Mus musculus: one gene and its partner. The protein of the gene in region 1 interacts with the protein of each later gene in a biochemical or structural test. Links are inferred from orthologs where the notes say so. Each region holds a gene or a part of one and is shown on either strand. Other genes may lie near its edges.

Region 1 (3,510 bases):
TGCAATTTGCTGATTACACTTAAGTTCAATGCACTGAGAGCCATCTAACAGATGAAAATAACACTTTTGAAATACGGTCATTGCCCCTGATATAGCTGCCTCTTGTGAGGCTATGCCAGGGCCCAGCAAACACAGAAGTGGATGCTCACAGTCAGCTATTGGATGGAACACAGGGCCCCTAATGGAGGAGCTAGAGAGAGTACCCAGTGAGCTGAAGGGGTCTGCAACCCTATAGGTGGAACAACAATGTGAACTAGCCAGTACCCCCCAGAGCTCGTGTCTCTAGCTGCATATGTATCAGAGGATGGCTTAGTCGGCCATCATTGGAAAGAGAGGCCCATTGGTCTTGTGAACTTTATGTGCCTCAGTACAGGGGAACGCCGGGGCCAGGGGGTGGGAGTGGGTGGGTGGGGGAGTGTGGGGGAGGGTGTGGGGGACTTTTGGGATAGCGTTGGAGGTGTAGATGAAGAAAATAACCTAATTTTAAAAAATTAAAAAAAAATCTTCCAAGCTGGGGCTTGCACAATACTAATTCCAGCTTTCAGCAGACATGTCTCAGTGAGTTTGTGGCCATTTTGGTGAATATAGCAAGTTCCAGGACAATTCGTACATAGATTCGGTCTCTCTACTGTTCCCCAAATAAAATCCCAAGAAAATTCTAAGTCTAATATCTTTACTGGTGAATTCTGTCAAACATTTAAGTATGAATATAATATTAGGGGTTGTTTTTGATTAATTTATACTTTTGATTGGGTGTTTTCTTCATTTGCATTCAAATGCTATCCCAGGAGTCCCCCAGACTCTCCTCCCCCGCCCCCACTCCCCTGCCCACCCACTCCCACTTCTTGGCCCTGGTGTTCCCCTGTACTGAGGCATATAGGGTTTGCAGGACCAAGGGGCCTCTCTTCCCAATGATGGCCGACTGGGCCATCTTCTGATACATATGTAGCTAGAGACACGAGCTCCGGGGGTACTGGTTGGTTCATGTTGTTGTTCCACCTACAGGGTTGCAGACCCCTTTGGCTCCTTGGGAGCTTTCTCTAGCTCCTCCAATATTAGTTTTAAACAATTACTTGAGAAAGTGGAGGGAGCTGCCTCCTTTATTTATAATGAAGTATGTTTTGCCTTGATAGAAATATAAAAGGCCTATAAGAGAAGTAGAACCCTCATGAATAAAGATACAAGAATTCTTTTTTTAAAAAAAGAAAAAAAAAAGAAATACGGTCATTGCAAGCACAGACAACAGTCCATGCGCAATGTACTTCTGTATTTAGGCTGATTACACAACACCGAGGAAAATCCCAGATCTCACAACAAGCAGCTGCAAAGGGCAATAACTTCATGATTATTACGATGTTGACAGCCCAGTGGGTAACCAGGCCCTCAGATCATCGCAGTTGGCAGAATGACTTCCAACACTGATGTAAACAAAGCCAGTTCCTGGTTAGTACATGGATGGGCTCTGTTACTTTCTCACGGTTTTCAAAATGTATTGTGGAAATATGAAAAAGGAGGTGGGAGGGATGGTCAGCTGTTAGGAGCACTTGTTCATGCAGACAACCTTGGTTCAATACCGAGCACCTACCCACTGGCTCACAACCATCTGTCACTCCAGTTTCAGAGGATCTGATGACCTCTTCTGGCCTTCTCAAGTACCAGACACACATACATATGCACGCACACACACACACACACACACACACACACACACACACACACAGGAACACTGACATACAGGCAAGACTTCATCATGAAGGCAGGCAGGCAGGCAGACAGGCAGGCAGGCAAGGAAGGAAGGAAGGAAGAGAGGAAGGAAGAGAGAGAATAAGAAAGAAAGAAAGAAAGAAAGAAAGAAAGAAAGAAAGAAAGAAAGAAAGAAAGGAAGGAAGGAAGGAAGAAAGAAAGGAAGGAAGAGAGAGAGAGGAAGGAAGAGAGAGAATAAGAAAGAAAGAAAGAAAGAAAGAAAGAAAGAAAGAAAGAAAGAAAGAAAGAAAGGAGACAGGAAGGAGACAGGAAGGAAGGAAAAAAGGAGAGAAGGAAGAATGAGAAAGAGAGAAAGAGAGAGAGAAAGAGAGAAAGAAAGAGAGAAAAAAGAAGGAAGGAAGGAAGGGAGGGAGGAAGGAAGGAAGGAAGGAAGGAAGGAAGGAAGGAAGGAAGGAAGGAAGGAAGGAAGGAAGAGTCATAAAAGACTTGAATTCTAAAGCTGCAGGAACTAGCGGCCTGAAGAATCTCTTCATCATGAAGGAGTTGTGATTCTGAGATCCTGAAACTAAGTCCATCTAGGACAGTGCAATAAGAACGCTGAGCGGCAGGTGTGTGGACATTCTGCTGGAGTGTCCTGTGTTGCTGGTGGACTGAGGGAGAACAGGAAAGAGAGGAGCCCCAGAATCCTCCAGGTTGTGGGTTCGGTACCTCCTTTGGTGCAGGCCCCCAGCAGGTTGACCACGTTCAGGTGGGGTCCAAGATGACTCATAATCTTCAGCTCGGACATTAAGGCTTGCTTCTCGCTACTTCTGGCTGTCGCTGGAGGGGGGAGAGGGACTCAGCCTGGGTGGGCCACTGAGGTGGTATAGAGGCCCTGCCAGGGCCTACTCTGCTTCCTCTGCCCCATCCTGTCACACCACCAGTGTCCTAGGGTGGACTGTATTAGAGAGGGAAGAAGGTGGGAGGCGGGGAGAGAAGGAGGAAGAAGCACCCTTCGGTCCCACAACCTCAGGGCCAGGCTCCTTCAGAAGAAACAAAAAGCCCAGGGAAGGGAGGGACCGAGTGAGGCCTCGGGTGTGAAGAAGGGGCGGGTGGACTCACATTTCAGCATCTTGACAGCCACTTTCATGGTGGCCTGCGAATGGCTCAGACCGTGAGCTGTGGCCTCCACCACCTGTCCGAAAGCCCCAGAGCCAAGAGTGCGTCCTAGGATGCATAGAGACCCTCAGCTCCTGGAAGCTAAAGCTTCAAGCTTCATCCCATTTCCCATTTAGGTTGGGGAATATTCCCTTAGATCACCCTCCACATCCCTCCAACCGCCCTACTGTGCTCCCCTTGGGAAGTTTCCCATCCTCTGGGTCTCCTCTAGATCCTGCATGCTATCTGCCTCCCCTGTAGTCCCTGAAAGACCTCCTGTCTCTTAGGGACACGCACAACTCCTTTGCACCTGCCTCAGACTCCCTGGCCTACATCCAAAGGACTTCCTCTTTGACCTGAAGGGGTCCCATATCAGTCTTGGGATCCCTGAGTTTTGGTGCTATGGGGTCACCTTATCTTCACCATATAGAAAGGATAGTGAGATCCAGAGGATGCAAGATATCAGCTCTATGCCTTAGCTAGTAGCAACCATGATGGGAGCAAATCTGAGTGTGCCCACTGCTGCTTAACACCTCTTAGGACTGACCCAGAACAAGCTGGTCCCGTGGCAGCTCCCAGGTGGAGTCGTAAGGCAACTGCACAGGGTCCACGTAGATGTACTCATGACCGTCAGAGCTCACAGACTCAATGACCTTCCATCGGATCTCA
Region 2 (3,998 bases), on another chromosome or scaffold:
CAAACAAACAAACAAACAAAAAAAAAACAAAAAACACCATGGCTGCATACCTCTGATAGCTTGTTTTAAAAGGCTGCCTAACTTACACAGAACAGCACACAAATGGCATCATTGTTTTTTCACATATGTCCTTTGAAAACACCTTGAGAAATGTTTCTATCACTCATTTTTTTAGGAAAGAGAAACAATTCCAAAGCAACATTTGAAGTCCCTCTGGATGGGAAAATGAATTTCCTAAGTCTCTATGGGAAGCTTCCCGGTCCTTTTGTAAGAAATGTTAGCTTACAAGTTTCCCCAACCACTGTTCCCTACACTGCTCTGCACTTGCAACAAGCAGTCTTGAATTCTTCAGTCATTAAGGCTCATTATGAACATCAGAAAATCATTTCCACGAGCCTCATCAGCCCCAGTGCACACTGCAAGCCAGTCAGTTAGAAGCATGTGTGCCCTACAAAGCAACCAAGCCCAGTCTTGCCAGGGCAAATTAAGCTAATGCAAATGATCAAATAAAGGACTACAGGTCACTATGCAATCAGTGACTATCGGGCTGTTTTCAAGGGGTCATTCGGTCTGCTCCAACAAGGAAAGCTCTGGAGAGATTTAGCAAGGATGAGAGCACATTTCTCAAACACCTGGGTGCTGCTGTTTGTCAGCAATGTTCAGTACCCCAATGTTCAAGACAGAGGTCAGGAATAAGCCCGGATCAAAGAGAAAGGGAGGAAGAAGACTGAAGCAAGGACCCATGGGGAAAGCAAAACTGAAAGCCTGGAAATGGACTGAAGAGCCTACAAGGAGTTGGAAACCACCTTTTATAAGTTCGACCCATTTTAAAGGGGGTCAGTCGTCTCTCCATCGGTGGGCAAATCGCCTATCAAGTGTCCAGAGCTCACATAGCAACTTCCAACCCTGAAACTGGGGCTCTGTTCAAGCACGTGTAAGAAACTGAGAGCAAGACAGGCAGTAAGCTGTAAGTCAAAGCTTTACAGCTGCACAAAGTTCTCATTTCAGCTTCAGGTCACTGGGACCTTTACGTTCTTCAATCAAAACTACGCTAACCTACCAGGAGGTGAGAAAGTTTAAGGGAGGATTGTCACTTGTGGTCACTTAGGAAAGACCCGAAGGTGTAAAACCTTATCTGTCTAAAGTGCACTTTCTCCATTGTGTTCACTGGCTGCCTTCGCTACATAAACCAGGCACATGCACGAGAAAGTCCGGTTTCTACCTCTGTATCTATAAACACTTGGAAAGTGAATGGAGGGAGTGCCCACAGCACAGTTGAGATGTTCTGATAAAGTAGTGACCTTTAGACTAGAAAAACCACAGTTGCTAACTATACCAAAAAAAAAAAAAAAAAAAAAAACCCAGGCTGGAAACACACCCAAAATTATTCTCATTCCTCCTCAAAATCTCTGCAGAAAAGCCTGTATTGGGAGAGGAGCAGAGAAGTCTCCAGGGGAGGATACCAGCAAGCCACGCCCACTGGCCAACGGGCTGTTTCTTTTTGGGTCAACCAAGGAGCAGGCCTGTGCACCTCCAGCCCAAACTCGGACCTGTTCATCCCACACACAGACGCAAACTTGGCAAGACTGGCCTTAAACCTGTTAGCAAAATAAGGAGAGCCAAATAAGGAGGAAGCGGCCAACCTGAATGGGTTAGGGTGGCAGGGCCCACTCCACTTGGCACCCAGCTGTGTCCCCAAGCTGTTCACAATACTACTGTAAGTCACCTCTGCTATCCATTAACCACCACCCGCGCACACCTTCCGGGAGGATCGCTGTTGTGTATAAATAACAGCGTTTTGCAAATCAAACCTCTCCACACAATGCCAAGCTAACAGCGCTCAAAAGGGAGGTGCCACCGGGGCATTAAAAGTCACACATCAAATTCTTGCAGAACCACTTGCTTAAATCGCCCTGAATAAATAAACTGAGGGGGCAGAGCAACCGGGAAAAACTTTGGTTGAGGAGGTTTAAGTCTTGGAAATGCGGGACCGGGCGCAGGGACTGGAAGGAACCAGGCACAAAAGCGCCCTGCGCCGAGGCAAGGACCTCCTTTATGGAACGTGACAGCAGCTTTGTGCCGGATCACGAATAGTTCTAAATACTGGAAGTTCTCCCCGGCCATCGCAGCCTCCCGCTTCCTAGCGCTGTGGCCCTCAGATCCCAGGCTATTCTTCCCAGGCACGCGCGCCCGGCGACCTGGCCACTGTTCGGTCCCACGCCCGCCCACAGGCCAGGGCTGCTAGTGTTCCCGAGGGCTTTGGGTCCTTGGTCCCCGGAGTCCGCCCGCGGAGGGCGCCCCACCCCCACGCCAGCCCCAGGCAGAGGGAGGCGAGGGCTCGCAGGAAGGTGTGTGTATCCGAGGTGCGGGTGCCCGGGGACGCCAGGCCGCGGCGGGGCTGAGGGCACCGGCCGGGTACGCAGGGGTACGCGCTCCCTGGCCCTCCCCGGGCGGCCGCGGCCCGCTCGCCCCTCTCTTCCAACTCCACGGACCGGCCCAAGTTTGCAGCCCCCGCCATCGCCTTACCTCGCCGCACAGTGCACGCCGAGGCCGGAGGGCAGCAGCGCGAGTCCCGGGGCGGCGGCCGCGCTGCGCCCGCCCAGATGCCGCTCTTTGTCTGCACCGCTCCCTCCTCCCGCCACCAAGCGGACGCAATTGGACCCGGCGGACCCCGCCGGCCCGGGAGCCCCGAGCCTGCCTGCCGCCGAGCCCTCCTCACCACCACCGTCGCCGCCGCCGCCCGCTCGGCCGCGCGCACCGGCCTGCGATCCGCGGCGGCGACCCTCCCGCGCAGCGCCCGCCTCCGCGCGCTCCCCGCCCGCGCTCCTCCCTGGCTGCCGTGACGCCGCCCAGGGGCCGGCCCAGCCCGGCGCACGCGGGGCGGGGGACCCACCTGGGAGTCCCAGCCAGGCCTCGGGAAAGCGCCGCCTGGGGGCTTCAAGCCGTAACCCGCTCTAGATTGGAGCTGGGGGCACCCGGGAGGGGCTGCTAGGGATAAGGAGGTGCCACTTGCAGCCCACGAGACCGGGTGGTCTCCGCACCCGGCTGTGCGTCGGGAGCCTTACAGCGACCTCCCTACCCCGCCCCCCAAGCATTCCCACGGCACTCTCAGCCAAACAGGCCTGGTGTCTGTCAGAAAAGTGACTTACATAAAAATGTCACTTCCTCCCAGTAATTGCTTGTGGGCATTTTCTTTATTTATTTGCCTTGCATTTATTTACTTTCCCATCCAGACACTTTTTTACTCCATCCCCCCCACCCCCAACCTCCAGGCGGGACCACTTCCTAGTGGGGGAGGAGAGGAAACCCGACCTCAGCTGCCTCCGCAGCGTCCTGGCCAGTTTATTAGAGCCCAGGAATTCTTTAGTACAGGAGGCTGAGAAAGCTTTAGAAGGAAACCTTGCTCTCCCAGACTTGAGTAGTAGCTAACCTATAAGCAAACTTGGAAAGCTAGAACCCTGGATCGAAGAGAAGGACTGGATCCAGAGGTTTCTTCTCCAAGCTCCTTCGCTCCTTATACCCCAAAGGAACCCCTGATATTCAAATAAATTCCGCTTTCAGGTCGGACGACTCACATTTATGTTAATGAGATTCAACCCTAGCCCTTGTTTCCTCCTTATTAAGGCAGAAACAATTCACCCTACGTAACAAAAAAAGAAAAAGAAAGAAAGAAAAGTTGCCTGCCTTCTTATAGGAAGTTCCCAGGCATAAGTAACGTGAGGAAGCTTGGCTATAGTCCTCGCAGCCATTGACCGTAGGCTCCTGAACTGTGTCACCTTACACAGGTGTTTCACAACTTCCTCGGCTTTATCACATGAGATGTTTACCTGCCTTCTATGTTAAGTACCTGGCACGTAGCCTGACACGAGGGCACTAGGAGGCATCCTGTACAAAATCAGCACACCCAACAGTCTCTTCCAGTCGGAGATGCTAGCTTCATCCGTTCTTTGTTACAGACCTCATCTTTGTTACTATCTAGCTTTACAACAATGAAGGCA

What was found. The genes of interacting proteins can lie anywhere in the genome.
Region 2: the proteins of Pdgfrb (region 1) and Nck2 form a complex in vitro, tested with the Homo sapiens proteins (2 studies listed by BioGRID). The link is inferred for Mus musculus from reciprocal best matches to the Homo sapiens genes PDGFRB and NCK2.

What each region holds. Positions count from the first base shown.
Region 1 is NC_000084.6:61,072,641-61,076,150, reverse strand, and holds part of Pdgfrb (platelet-derived growth factor receptor beta isoform 2 precursor), read right to left. Parts: coding exon 3,389-3,510; intron 2,911-3,388; coding exon 2,806-2,910; intron 2,524-2,805; coding exon 2,413-2,523; intron 1-2,412. UniProt on the Homo sapiens protein: Tyrosine-protein kinase that acts as a cell-surface receptor for homodimeric PDGFB and PDGFD and for heterodimers formed by PDGFA and PDGFB, and plays an essential role in the regulation of embryonic development, cell proliferation, survival, differentiation, chemotaxis and migration.
Region 2 is NC_000067.6:43,444,556-43,448,553, reverse strand, and holds the start of Nck2 (cytoplasmic protein NCK2), read right to left. Parts: upstream 2,804-3,998; 5' UTR 2,527-2,803; intron 1-2,526. UniProt on the Homo sapiens protein: Adapter protein which associates with tyrosine-phosphorylated growth factor receptors or their cellular substrates. Maintains low levels of EIF2S1 phosphorylation by promoting its dephosphorylation by PP1.